Linked DNA regions of Cricetulus griseus. The protein of the gene in region 4 interacts with the protein of the main gene of each other region in a pairwise test. Links are inferred from orthologs where the notes say so. Each region holds a gene or a part of one and is shown on either strand. Other genes may lie near its edges.

Region 1 (2,370 bases), about 79 Mb from region 4:
TATGTCACCACACTCAGCAAACCTAAAGTTTATATTTTATTTTTGAAGAGAAAGCAAGGTTTTATTGAGGAGTATCTGTCCATAATTTAAATAGTTCTTAAGTAGTTTTTCCTTAATTTAAAATAGTTCTACAGTAGCCTCATTATTATCCTTCAGAGCGGTATCCACTTAAGTGAAAAGCAATGGCTTGAATGACCTGAATTCTAACTCACCATACTAGGACACTCACTTGAAGGAATCACCAGTGTATTTATGTTATTTAAAATCACAGAAGTGTCCAGAGAGCTAGTTTTGTTGTAATGATATGGTTGTGGCAGGCTCCAGCCTAGAGAAGATTTATTTGAGGTTATTGCTCTTCAAAATTAAACAACAGAACTCACATAGTAAGTATCCTTACATTATAATTGATCTAGAGGTTTAGAAGCCAACCAAAGACAAATGAGGCAGGAAGAGGAAGCAGACCACACTGTTCTGTTATACTTTCACAGAAGTGGAAGCAGGAACCCCAGGCAGTCACTTAATAAAGATTGGTCTTTTTCATGATCTTAAGAAACTCTTCCTCGTTCACTTCTCCATCGCCGTCACGATCAGCTTCGTCGATCATTTCCTGCAGCTCCTCGTCCGTGAGGTTTTCCCCCAGCTCATTGGCCACACGCTTGAGGTTTTTGAACGAGATTTTCCCGGTTTCATCATCATCAAACAACCTGAAAGCCTTCAGAATTTCTTCTTTGGTATCTTTCTCTGCCATCTTCTGAGTCATTACAGCCAAGAAGTCATTGAAGCTGATCTTTCCTGTGGCCTCTTTGTCTACTTCTGAAATCATTTTCTTCATCTCTTCCTTCCTAGGTTCAAAGCCTAGTGCTCTCATGGCCACTTTCAATTCTTTCACGTCGATGGTTCCGCTCCCATCAGAATCAAAGAGGTCAAAGGCTTCCCGAACTTCTTGCTTCTGGTCTTCCGTGAGCTCAGGCTTAGGACCCACCTTTCTCTTGTAGCTGGTGGAGGCCACATTTGGCTTCCTTAAGTTGGACGCCATCTTCCACCACGATTGGGTCCTTAACGGCGCCCTGCCACCCGCGTGTGTGCTAGGTACCCCCGCTATTGCGCCTGCGCCAGCCCCTATGCACCTAGTGTCTGCACCATAGAGCCCTGCCCCATCTTAGATGTTATTGACATTATAATCCACAGTTTCCTCACTTTGACATTCACTTTCTGCAAGTTGATACCAGCAGGCAAGAACCTTGCTGTAGCTACTGTTGTCTCTACAATGCAGTTCTTTCCAAGCCTTTGGTTTGTGTCTGCAGTGCCTTGTGTGTATTTATTTGAAAGTCTGAAGCTCCTTTTTCATACTAATTAAAATAACTTCCTTAATCTGAAGCTACCTAAGGACAAAGGTGGGGTAATCAAGATTGAATTGATAACTTGGTATTAAATTCTAAAAAGAAGGAGGGAATACTCAGATCACACCATAAGATGGAAGCAATTACATGGAAAATTTAAAGAAGTTTGTCTCCTGACATTATGTTTAACCATAGTAAGAGTTTTCTGGCAGTTTCTCAACTCTGAAATGTAATACCCAGTAGAATTCACTTTAGTACCCGGGTTTGAGGTACATGATGCATTTTTGACTCGAACAGACAAGGGCGGAAGTGTTATATTTCTGGTATGCTGGCATGTATTTTAGAAACCCTAGCACTATACTTACTCTCAGAGCTTATCATACAATCCACACTCTGGTAATAAAAGTCACTAAGAAGGAAGGTAGATTTAGGGTCAAACTCTCTTTACAAAGGAGAAATCTACTGTCCCTTTAGAAGTCTATGAGTGCACTGTCAAATTGTTCTTTCTTTTAGGTCCACCTGAAAACTCATAGGGAAAATCTTTAAGGAAACAGTCAAGGTAACCTAAATAGAACTCTACTCTTAAAGTTCTCAACACAAATGCCTGGAAGTTTCATGCCTATCATCTTTCTTTTCTTTTAAGCCTGAGATATATGACCTTAAATCAAATAAACCCAGTGAAAGACATCTTACACCAAGCAAGCTCAGAAGTGCCTCTATTATGTCCTTTCTTATATGTGTAGGCTTCTGAAATAAAACTCCTACACTTTATGTGGTGAGAGCATTGTTTTGTAGATAATGCCAATGCTCTCCTTAGGTGCTGCAAGTAATAAGTCTGCATACTTTCATTTGGTCATGCTAGTTGGTTCCACCCTCATCTAGAGGATAGCCCGTTGTATTCAGTTACTGTGATCCCTCTTTGATTGTGGACATGGGAAGTGATTACACAGCACATATGGAGACCTAAACTTGTCTTTTAGAAATAAAAGGATAGTTACTAAGTAATAAAAAAAAAAGTTACTAAGTAAGC
Region 2 (4,261 bases), about 13 Mb from region 4:
CCAGGCCTATTACTACTGTTAGACATTCTATCCTCTCACTACATAGTTCCTACCCATACTTAGATTGCTTAAAACCCCCCTACAATGTTGCCGAATTAAAACTACTATAAACATTAAGGCTACTAAAAGATTTCATAAATGCTAGTAGACTGAATAAGATCCTCACCAATTTCTCCAATCTTTACTAGTAGTTTTGGATTTTTTGTTTGTTTGTTTGTTTTTGTTTTTGTTTTTGGAGACAGGGTTTCTCTGTGGCTTTGGAGGCTGTCCTGGAACTTGTATACCAGGCTGGTCTCAAACTCACAGAGATCCGCCTGCCTCTGCCTCCCAAGTGCTGGAATTAAAGGTGTGCACCACAACCGCCCAGCTCCTTTACTAGTAATTTTAAGCCTTAAATTTGACATAGTCCCTCAGCATGTATCAACATAAGGCATCAGACAATGTACATCCTTTGTAGCAAAGAAAAGAAAAATAAGAGTTTGTCCGTATTATCTTTGAAAATTCAAAGATTGAGCCAGGTGGTGGTGTTGCATGCCTTTAATCCCAGCGCTTGGGAGGCAGAGGCAAACAAATCTGAGTTCTCGGTCAATCTGGTCTACAAAGCTGAGTTCCAGGACAGCCAGGGCTGTTACATAAAGAAACCTTGTCCAACAAAAATATAAAATAAAGATAAATAATAAAAGCTTGAAAGGATACATTTTCAATCTCGGAAACATCTGAGCAAAGGTAACACTCTCTCAATCTGAAAATTGTCTGTGCTGTGCTTAAGTGATAGCTCAGTGGATAAGAGCGCTTGTCCTGCACTCACGAGGACCAGAACTGGAACTGTAACCACCCACATAAAGACAGGCATGGCTACAAGTGTCCGTAACCCCAGCATTGAGGGGTAGATCGGGATGTGATTCCAGAGTTCACTCTCTAGCCAACCTAGGCTATGAGCTTCCAATTCAGTGAGGTGCCCTGTCTCCAGGCAGTAAGGTAGATGGTGATGAAAGATACACAAAGCCCCACTCTGCCTTCCACACACTACACAATGTGGTTTACATGCCTGCACAGGCACATGCACATGCACATGCCACATACATGTTTTTTTTAAAGAATCTGAGCTACTCCGTCCTCCAGAAGAAACCAAAAATGGGAAGAATAAGCTAAGAACTGTTCTTTCACCTGGGTGAATGAAAAAGCCTTACTTCCCACCAAATGTACTTTTACATTTAAATACGAGTTTCTAAAAGCCATATTAGGGTTTTTTATTCAATTTTATTGCAGCCCCTGTAAGTGGATACTGAAAACAGCTTCAGGGTTCTAAAACAAGTTTTTAAAATAGACTTTAAAGCAACAGTCAAAAGTGCAATTCATTTAAACAAAAGAGATGTGTCATCAAATACACTGTTACCTTTAATTCATGATAATCTATTGCGTGGTCTTTGTCGGTATCAAAGAGCTCAAAGGCATCTTTAATTTCTTGCTTCTGTTCTTCAGAGAGCTCTCTTCGTTTTTTTCTCTTTGTTTTGTCTACTACAAGCTCACTTCTGTGACACAGGAAAATGTGTTTAGTCCACTTCAACCCAACTCACTTAGAACAAAGAATGGTTTTCTAAACTTCAACAAAGCAGAATAGTCTGGAGAATAAAGAAGCTGTCCCTAAGTCAACGTCTTGTACTCCAAATGTACTTTTATATACCAAAATCCAAAGCACTATTAGTTGTTATTCATGTTACCTACCAAGAGCATGAAAACAAATATAAAAATCCATGTGAAAGTAAATTTCACAAATGACAACCACGATATATGGTTTACCTTGGACAGCTTCTAATTAAATTCTCACAATTACTACAAAGATTAACCATAAAGCTTATAAGGTGAGTCACTTTAACACTGCAAGTTCAAAATGCTTTCAGATTATACATTTCTAACAGTGCTTTGTGTTTTCATTCCATATTAACCAGCCAAAATATAAAAGCACCTAAACAAATACTAGACGACCAAAATAATAGCATATAATGTTCCTATTTGAGTCTGTGTGATGTTTAAAAGTGTTGTCAGTCTCAACCTATAAACAATGGGTTAAACGTCTTCATTTAAAAACTCTGGAGAAGCGTAAAAGAACATCTAAAAAGGGATTTAGGGCCAAAAACGTCTGCCTTAAAGACTGCCAATGTTTAAATGAGGCACAACACGTGTATCCGCTAGGTTTTAAGAAATGGAAGCTTGAAAGCCTGAAACACGGCTGAGTGTGTAGGCTCTTTACACCTGAAGGGCAGAAGGCTGGCAGGGGCTGAGCAGAGGTGGCCGCCCGCCACACCCACGCCGGGCCACACCCCCGCCGGGCCATCAGCGTCTACCCACTCTACAGCGCCTGCACGTGAAGATGGACAGGGTGAGGAGCCAATGGGAGCCAGTGGGCCAGGTGGGTGCCTGGACGAGAATGGCGGAAATCAAGGGCACCAGATCCGCCGGGGCGGCCGACGCACAGGGCGCCTCGACCGCGGAGAGAGCCTGGCTGTCCCACGCTTGTCCTAAGGAAGGAGGCCGCCAGGCCCGAGTTCCTCACACGCAGGAGGGAAACCTCGCGAGACTGGGCTCCCGATGCGGCGCCGGCGCAGTCCGCAGAAAAGGGCCGCACCGCCGTGATGCTCGGCGCTCTGCACCCGCGCCCGGCCCGGCTTCCCTTCCGCGCCCGCCCTGGCCCTCTGCGGAATGGACACACGGCCTCCTCGTTACCGACCTCAAAGCTAAACTCATTTTCTCTTCCGGCCAAGATGTTCCGCCCAAGGACTTTTCCACGGGAACCGCTCAACAGCCACCAACCTCCCGGCCGCGGGACCACCCACCAAACAGAGATTTCTGGTTGCGATTGGCTGAAGACTGCCAATAGTCGGCCCATTGGGGCGGGAGCCTCGCCGGCCCTCTGTTCTCATTGGTCACCGTTCGTGTCAATCAAGTACCTTTGGCCCTGCTGCCGGTGTCAGTCACCACGCTGGGTTCGGGCGCTCTGGGGGGGGAAGGGAAAATGCTCAGCACAAGCAGTCACTGGGGATCCAGCCCTTGCCACTCAGAAGGTCAAAACGTAAATCTGAGGGCTTTGTTCTCCATTCTTATTTCAGTAACTACTAAGCCACCAAGTGTTTTCCCTTTTCAACGTTTCCAAGTGATTCCAAGAATTCACCCTGTAGACCAGGCTGGCCTCAACCGCAGAGATCCGCCTGCCTCTGCCTCCCAAGTGCTGGGATTAAAGATGTGCACCACCAAGGCCGAAGACAAACTAAAGTAGGCTCATCATTATGTTGGTCTGTTAGTTTATTTACAGAAAAACTACCTAAACCACCGTTTTCAACTTGTGTGCGATTTGAGATGTATTTGTTTGCTTCTGTCCTGTATTTTCTAGTGCTGAACACTGTTTATGTGCCCATGGTCTTCATTACCCACCAGGCCTCCTGAAGCTCACCTGGATCATTCACCTGCTAAACTGAATGGCATCAAAGTCAGGAGTCTACTTTCCATTTAACCGAATGTTTGCACCAAATAAAATACCTGGTATTATTAAATATTAAATTATTAGATAATCTGAAAATAAACCATTTACATGAAGATGTTTGAAACAAAGGACAAAATTAAATTAGAAGGAATAAATTACAGAAAAATAACAAGACAATTTTTGTTTGTTTTTGTTGTTGCTTTTTTGAGACAGGGTTTCTCAGTGTTAACATCCCTGGATATCCTGCAAGTCTTTAGACCAGTCTGACCTCAAACTCAGAGATCCTCCTGTCTCTGTCTCCCACGAGCTGGAATTCAAGGTATGCATCACCACTGCCTGGTAATGTGAGATGATTTTTTTCAAAGGAACTTGATAGAAATAATAAATCGATAAAAATGCTCTCATTTAATATTAAGCTTATTCTTACAACACATAAATTTCAGACTCCTGGGAAGTAAAAGAAACAAACTATTACTACTTAGTTACGCCTTTAAAAGGGAAGTTTAAACAGACCAGCAAAGATAGTGCATTGGTTAAAAGCACTTCTATACCAGTCTGATCTCCACCACCTGCAACCTGCTAGAAACTCATAGTGGAATAAGAGACCAACCCCAAAAAGTTGTCTACTGACTACAGGTGCCATGACTGTGGCACAAACACACACACACACACACACACACACACACACACACACACACTTATAAACTTGATGTTTCTAATACATAAAATGAAATCACTTCAAGGAAAGCAAAGGTAACTTAAAGTTGGAAAACTCAATTTAGT
Region 3 (4,239 bases), on a different chromosome or scaffold from region 4:
TGTGAATGGTATAGATTTTATTGGATGAAGTTCTTTTTATGTCTAGATTCCCATGTATCTACCATTATGGATGGGAAGTATGCTCATTATCTCAACTAACTTACCATTTTCTGAGTCATCACTGTCAAAAAGTCACTGAAGTTCATTTTTCCTGTCCCTTCCTTATCAATTTCACTTATCATCTTTTTGATTTCTTCTTTCTTAGGTTCAAAGCCCAGAGCCCTCATTGCAACCTACAACGAAAACAGGATCATCTAAATAAACACATATAAATGATGTAGACGCAAAAATGGCTATTGATGATAATAACAAAATGGTGAAAATGATTAGGGAACACTGTAAAGCTGATTTAATTGATATTTGCAATCAACTTTTATCATTAGATCATTGTTTCAGGTTAAATATACACAGGGTACCTTTTTCTGTTACTTTTTACAGGGAGAAAGGTGATAGGTAAAAGACAAACAACAAGGAAACACAAGGCACCAAAACAGGAATGTGTGCAGCTTGCCTTTAGTTCCTTGATGTCTATAGTTCCAGTTCCATCAGCATCAAAGAGATCAAAAGCTTCCCGGATTTCCTGTTTCTGTTCTTCAGTCAGTTCAGGCTTAGGGCTCATTCTTTTTCTCTGGCCACTGGATGCCATGTTTGTCTTCTTAAAAGTAGAGGCCTTCAGACATTATACAAACACAGAAGCACAGTATTATAAGCCATAGTCCATATTTTATTTATGACAGTTCTAGACATTCATAAATTTTTCATTTATGCTCCACTCTGAGTAATGTACATGTCATTCTATAAACTTTCATAAGCTGGTGAGATGTCTTGCTGCCAAGCCTGACAACATAAGTGAGAACCCAGCACCTACATGGTAGAGAGAATCAACTCTTCCAAGTTGTTCTCTGACCTTCATGCTCAGACTGAGTCCCCTTCTCCCTTACACAAATAACAAGGGTTCAAACTAAGTAAAATTAACCCCAACTCTAAAAAAAATCCTGAGAAGAAAAATAGAAAAACTCTCTTTAATTTAAAACCCCTTTAATAAGTATATTTTAGCTTTTAGTATCACATTGTAAAAAACAGAAAATCAGCAATACACTAATTAAATGACTGTGTTCTACCATAACTGTAAATTAAAACATCATTTCTGTTAATAATGTAATGTCTCACATGATTAAATCCAATTATATTTCACTGGGGAGCCAGCAGCCTGAAGGGACTTTTCATTTTAAAATAATATATTAACATTTTTCTCCTTGTCCCTGTATAGATCAACATAGAGCAAATGAATATATGAATATGAATTTCTGGTGTTAACATGACCAGTTTTTCATCACAGGATATAATTCTGGCCTCCACTGTCTTCAAGTTTATACTACAGATAGTGTATTCATTTGTACCTTTAATAGACATGTCACTTTAGAAAATTAAATTTTTTAAATCAAGATTTCTTAAATCAAAAACTTTTAAATATAAAGAAGCAACATTAGCCAGGCGTTGGTGGCGTATGCCTTTAATCCCAGCACTCGGGAGGCAGAGGCAGGTGGATCTCTGTGAGTTCGAGACCAGCCTGGTCTCCAGAGCGAGTGCCAGGATAGACTCCAAAGCTACACAGAGAAACCCTGTCTCGAAAAAAAAACAAAAAAAAAAGCAACATTAAAAACTCTTTGAATGAGAATAACATGTTTACCTAAAGGTTCAACATGCTTGCATTTTCTCCTTCTTTTCTAAAGCTAGTAAACAGCAAATTTGAGACCATATCTGTTTGTAAGTAATAAACTTATAATTTTATTATGAATAGATTGTCACAAATTTCTATATTGTATATTCAATTAAAGCAACACGGTGTGGTTTAAGTTTTCATTACCAAAGATGAAAAAAAAGATCCCTCCTTGTTCTAATGCCACTGCTAACTCAGACAGCTGATTAATGGAAAAATAATTTATACCAACTGATTCTAAAGATCTGCCTAATAAATTGAGCAATAAGGAAGTTTCCTGGAAAGAACAATTAATGTTTCTATGAACCTCTGACTCTTTAAAAAATATTGATTTTAGAGGCCAGGAAACCCCTTATTTTTCATCCTGAAAGAAAGCTAGGTGAGAAACTAATTATGCATACTTAACAGATATCAACTGTCTGTGAATCTGGGGATCTGAGTTCTAGACATGTACTTAAAACATCAACTTAGGATGCTAGTTCCCAATCCATTTAGCACTTGGTGCCTTGTCTGCGAAGCTCAAAGCATCTCCTGAAAGCCTCAATACATTTGTGACCATCAGAACATAGTAAATCTCTTAGTACCACGCATAAACTTTAGCAGGTGGCAGCGGCCAGGACGCCTGTGTCTGTCTGAGGTCTGAGTCTGTGGGAAGCCTGAGTGTTACCTGCAACAGAATGGTCACCTGTGGTTCCAGGAAAACCAGCAGAGATCAACAGGCAGATTAGGGGTGACTGAAGGTGACTGGGGGCGGGGAGGGTTAAGTGTTGAAGCGCAGGCAGGCTAGCGGCCAGAGGCTGTACTTTTTCTCCTACCCTTCCGGCATAGAGCTCCAAGGAAGAACTAGTACGCCAAAGCGAAGAAGAATGCAGGAAAGGCTGCAGGGCCGCAATGAGGCCTAGGAAGGGCTCGGAGGCACTACGCAGGGTCCATGGAACGCCCAGCACTTACCATCGCCGAATGGACTCCTCCGCGACCGGTTGTTAAGGCAACGCGTACTCGCGGCCTCGGCGCCTTTCCCACTGCTCTGCGCGCGCGCGACCCGCTTCCCATTGGTTTGCGGACGGAGAAGGTGGGGCTAACCTGGCAAGGTCCGCCCCAGGGTAAGAGGGCAGTGTGGTGGCGGCAAGGACTGACGATCTCATTGGACAAAATCGCGCTGTGAGCGTCAACTGGCTGCGCCGGACCCGCGCTAGACCAATCAACGTGAGGAAGGAAGCTCGGCTGATCATGGGCCCATACCTCTCCGTAGAAAAGGGTGTCTGGTCTTGGGTTGAAGTTCGCTGGTTGCAGGTTGCTAACAAGCTGAAGTCGACTGCAAGAGTGCCTAAACCGGGTAAGAGTTGCGGCCTTGCTCATGGAGGCTGCTGCGTGTGAGCAAAAGAGCCGGGAGACAATGAGAGAGAATGGGTGGGATATGGTAAAACCCGAGATGGGAACACAGACTATCTATGGGGCCAGGAAAGATTTGGCCTAACGGGTTGCAGGGGTGACTATTTGGGGCAGCTGAGGCCTAGAAAGGGGAGTGGGCATGCTGACTGTTGTATCAGCGGTTCACGGGGCTGGGACTTAGAAACTCAATGCAGGCGAGTCTTTGTGAATGTAGTTCTCAAGATGATGAACTGGGGACTTTCTGGGTCTAGAAAAGTCATCAGAATGTGCCCTTTTAGAACGTGCAGACACAAAAGTCACATGAGAAGGACCATTCCTGGATGAAACTTCCTTCAAAGAAAAGCTACAGGGATTTTGGAAATGTTGGATGCATAGAGCATTAAACAGAAATGTGTGCAGGGGGGGGGGTGGTGTTACCTGGAACTGTTCCAGAAATAATGGAGGTCCACGGTCAGCTACAGCAGTACCTCAACCATCACACATGCTTCCCTCAAGGCATAGAATATTAGTTTGGGGACATTAATGCCATAGCATCAGTTTCTCAAACTGACAAAGGCCAGAGAAACTTAACAGCATACTATAAATGTAATGTAGGCCGTTTACCTTCCTTCCTTGGAGCCATGAACCAGATTCAAAACTTTTGTATCCCATTCGACCACTCTGTTCCCTCTAGCAGCAATCCCCCATACCCAGCCCCTGGATTCTCTCAGTTCTGCCTTTGAAGTGTCTTTTCTTTTTTTCGGCTTCTTCCCAGCCCTTCATCAACATTATGAGCTGGATTTATCACCAAAGTCTCCCTGGCATGCAACTCCTCCTATCATACCCACACTGGTACACACCTCCTCATCCCTGGCTAACTCCCACCCAAGACACTGCTTTCATGACTGATAAACTCTTCCTGCATTGACCTTACCCAGCCCCATGAACTTTGAAAAAATACAATATTTTGATTAATTCTTTGAGAATTTTTGTCACAGATGTGTATAATTTTTTTGTCATTGTTTTGAGCTAGGGTCTCACTGTGTAGCCCCAGCTGTCCAGGAACTCCCTATATAGATCAGGCTGACCAGTCTCATGGAGATCCACCTGCCTCTGCCTCCTGACTGCTGGGATTAAAGTTGTGTGCC
Region 4 (3,569 bases):
CTTGTATCAGTTTAACCCTTCTATTAAGCACAACTTGGCTTGTATCAGATACCAGATCTACTGCTGACAGTTCACAAAGGTCCACCTTTGGGCTGTAATCCAAACTATCCTCCATGCCCACATAAATACTGCTGACAGAGTACCAGTATGTGGTTCATAGAGTAACTTAAGGGATCCTGAGGGAGGTGTCCAGATCATCTTTAAAGATGGGCTTGGGCATTTAGTTTTCAAAGTAATCTCGGCATAAAACTTCTGGTTCAAGAACTGGAATATAACATAATCCACTAAGAGATAATCACTACTGGGTTGCTTTGACTTTAGTAATTTTCATAAAGTTAAAAGTCAACTGAAGTTTAAATAAAAATCTAGCTGTCAAAAGTGCCAGGGACAACACAGTAAATATAAGGCAGGCCCCATGTGATAGATACTGCTTTACACCATGGACTGGGAAGAAACCACTGATGGTGAGGAACATTTCCACAGTCCCATCAGCATCACTGACAAACTCAGAATCTTACGTGGTATCCTGAAAACTGTACCTAACCTGGTTAGCAAAGCATACCTGCTAGTGTAGGAAATCTGTCTGGTGCCACTTCTCCCTTCGGATGAGACGGCTGTGAAGCACTGGACTCAACATTTGGATTCACAATAGCATAGCGGAGCAGCTCTTCATACTCTTCCTATGAGAAGCCAATCACAGTGATGTATTATGACAGCTATAATGCTGCATCCAACCACTCAATTTTTTGTTGTGTTAAGAAATCTACTTAACCACGTAATAGTCATGTTCTTACCACAATACAGAAAAATTTCTCTCTTATGCTAAGCTTGATTCCTTTGAGTACTTCTGGTATGACTTTTACATACAATTAAAAGTTTAAAGATGTAATGGATATTAGTGATTCAATATAATATTTTCTCTCTCTTCTTTGTTATGTTTCATATCAATTTAACTGAAGATGAGATAAGACATGCTTTAAAACACTATTACTTTCAATTCAAGTATTTAAATTGAGACTCAGCTTATATTTTCTCTCTTCGGTTCTTACCTTTTACCCTTTCTTCCTTTCTTATTTTGAGGCAGAATTTCCCTACATTCCACAGGCTAGAACTTGCTATGTAACCCAGGTCTCTAGTAAGCCTGCAATTTTCCTGCCTAAGCCTGAGTGCTTGCATTACAGGCATTTACCACCACACAAGGTACCAGAATTCTCTTGATATTATGTAACTCAAAAGAAGCAAACTGGATTCTCAAGCTTATGAAACTACATAGGATTTTTTTGCCTAGATTCAAGCCCATACTCACAGGGGTAGCTTGCTTATTTTTGCTGCTGTTGTTAAAGGAAAATGCCATGGATTTGAGTTCATAAAATAAATCAGTATGATTATAGCTTTCTTTTAGTATTGGAATTTTAGGTAAAACTATAAAAGGAGTTTGTACTATTCTGTCTGAAAACTGTAAAATTTCAATGTGAAAGAGTGAGATGGTTTGAGTTTCAACTTGGACTCTATTTATTACACATATGCATTGAGCACTAGGTGAAAGAAATACATTTTTTTATGCAGTGTACATTAATGTTATGGAAGAAGAAAAGAAGACACCTATGGAGTGACAAAAGAAAGTCAGCTGACAGAAAACGCTAACACCAGAGCCCTCTTCACATGTCTATAACCAATGCTTTGTTAGTGACACCCCTTCAAAGCAATAAAACCCAAGATTTAACTGTTTTCTAGGATTAAGTAGAAGGTGCAGCAGGTGCAGATGAAAACACCTGTAATTGTAGCACTAAGAAGTGGCGATAAGAGGACCAGGAGTTTGAAGCTAGCCTGGGCTAAACAGTGAGAGTTCCAGGATAACTTGAAGCTACAAAGTGAAACTCTGTGTCAGGAAAAAAAAATTCATTTGGCATATCATGATGTCCAAAGTAGTTACAATTCTTTTAAATTATAGTAAATTAATTATAATTTTTTAAATTATTGATGACAAAAGTAATTCTAATTCTTTAAAAAGATTTAAATATTCTTAAATTAAAAGAACTACAGTTATACCTGGTTGTTAAAATAAAAGGAAATCCCAAGTTTTTAAGTTATTAAAATAAAAGACAACCCTAACTTGATAAATGTGGATAAGATACAAGGCATTCGTTGGTTTCTAGAAACCTAAATGTGAGTTGACCCTAATAAAATAATATACAGAATTCCAAGTTGACTTACTAATGAATACCCATTTCTCCTTTATTCCTGTCATTAATAAGCCCCAGGGTTTGACCTGGGCAAATGGTCATTTATTTCTCCTATCTCCCACCGGCTAAGGCAGTTAGAAAACATTGTCTTTGGGTTTTGACTCTCTCATGTAAATATGACACCTTACCTAGTCGGGCTCCTAACTTGTCTGTCAGTGTCCAATTAAGGTGGCAGATTATGCCAAATGTTGTGGCAAACGGAACCAGAACCTCACTGCACAGAACATGGGAGAATTCTGGGCTCTAGAACCTCAGATGGGCTGATGTTCTGTTACTTTATATTAAGAATGAGGGCATTCAGCAGAGGCAGTTAAATAGGAACATTTCACTGTGTGAAAGCCTTTTTAGAAAATCTTTTGAACAGCTCATGGCTATTTTCTGAAACTTACAACATTATACTAGTATGGTGAATAAATAATATGTAGCCTGTAATAGTCAGGATATCGTTAATAAGTAAATGCCAACCAACACGAAACCAGAGCGAGCCGAAGCAGCAGAGACAAGAGAGTACCGTGTGCCTTGGCTATTCCTTTAAACCTTTCCCAAGTCACCCTGACGGGCGTGGTCAGGCACACCTGTAGCCAGCCCCTAGGAGGCGTGGTTATAGTGTCTCCCTACACTATACTCCCCAAAATAGTAGAGAGTTCTCTAAGTTTAATAATGTCATAAATACAATATTTCATTGTAAATGGAATCAGTAAGTATAAATATATACGTCTGGTTTTACCACAAATTAACACTTTATTTTTGGGGTGGTGGTGGTATCTCTTTGTAGCCCTGACTGTCATGGAACTCTCTATGTGGACCAGGCTGCCTTAAACTCAGAGATCCTCCTGCTTCTGCCTCCTCAGTGCTGGGATTAAAGGCATACACCATTACACAGGGCTTTATGCTTTAAAAAAAAACTGTAATAAATTTAGATGTCTTCCTACCTGAAGGTCTGTGGAGACAGAGCTGTCATGATCAGAGTCATTGTGAGCAACATGAAGTGAGAATTTGTCCTCATCAGATGACATCTTGTACAGAAGCTATAAAACAGCACATGTTAACTTTGGTTGTTTCCCATAATGCTTAAGCCAAAGCTTTTAAATACACACTAGTGAGCAATGCTTTAACTTGCAAACATTTTTTCATGTCATTTAAAAAATCACCCACTCAACATGTTGAGTGCTTACAGGCAACAATCATCAGCTCTCCTCTCCCCCAAACCTTACTCCAAACATTAGTGCATTTATAATACACTGAAAGAGATGAGCTAAATGCATAAAAGGTTAAAGAAAAATACTCAGGACAGTTTCCTGCAGGGTCTGTTAGAGAGAAGAGCTG

Evidence for each region.
Region 1: the proteins of Poc5 (region 4) and centrin-1 interact in binary tests that used the Homo sapiens proteins (3 or more experiments, as listed by UniProt). The link is inferred for Cricetulus griseus from reciprocal best matches to the Homo sapiens genes POC5 and CETN1.
Region 2: the proteins of Poc5 (region 4) and Cetn3 interact in binary tests that used the Homo sapiens proteins (3 or more experiments, as listed by UniProt). The link is inferred for Cricetulus griseus from reciprocal best matches to the Homo sapiens genes POC5 and CETN3.
Region 3: the proteins of Poc5 (region 4) and Cetn2 interact in binary tests that used the Homo sapiens proteins (3 or more experiments, as listed by UniProt). The link is inferred for Cricetulus griseus from reciprocal best matches to the Homo sapiens genes POC5 and CETN2.

Annotation. Positions count from the first base shown.
Region 1 is NC_048595.1:236,454,156-236,456,525, reverse strand, and holds centrin-1, read right to left. Parts: upstream 1,037-2,370; coding exon 518-1,036; downstream 1-517. UniProt on the Homo sapiens protein: Plays a fundamental role in microtubule-organizing center structure and function. Plays a role in sperm cilia formation.
Region 2 is NC_048595.1:302,231,387-302,235,647, reverse strand, and holds the start of Cetn3 (centrin-3), read right to left. Parts: upstream 2,864-4,261; 5' UTR 2,746-2,863; coding exon 2,729-2,745; intron 1,533-2,728; coding exon 1,397-1,532; intron 1-1,396. UniProt on the Homo sapiens protein: Plays a fundamental role in microtubule-organizing center structure and function. As a component of the TREX-2 complex, involved in the export of mRNAs to the cytoplasm through the nuclear pores.
Region 3 is NC_048604.1:2,886,905-2,891,143, reverse strand, and holds the start of Cetn2 (centrin-2), read right to left. Parts: upstream 2,819-4,239; 5' UTR 2,774-2,818; coding exon 2,672-2,773; intron 2,667-2,671; exon of another isoform or gene 2,536-2,666; intron 2,517-2,535; exon of another isoform or gene 2,388-2,516; intron 671-2,387; coding exon 512-670; intron 234-511; coding exon 105-233; intron 1-104. UniProt on the Homo sapiens protein: Plays a fundamental role in microtubule organizing center structure and function. Required for centriole duplication and correct spindle formation. Has a role in regulating cytokinesis and genome stability via cooperation with CALM1 and CCP110.
Region 4 is NC_048595.1:315,069,163-315,072,731, reverse strand, and holds part of Poc5 (centrosomal protein POC5), read right to left. Parts: intron 3,272-3,569; 5' UTR 3,260-3,271; coding exon 3,176-3,259; intron 681-3,175; coding exon 563-680; intron 1-562. UniProt on the Homo sapiens protein: Essential for the assembly of the distal half of centrioles, required for centriole elongation. Acts as a negative regulator of centriole elongation.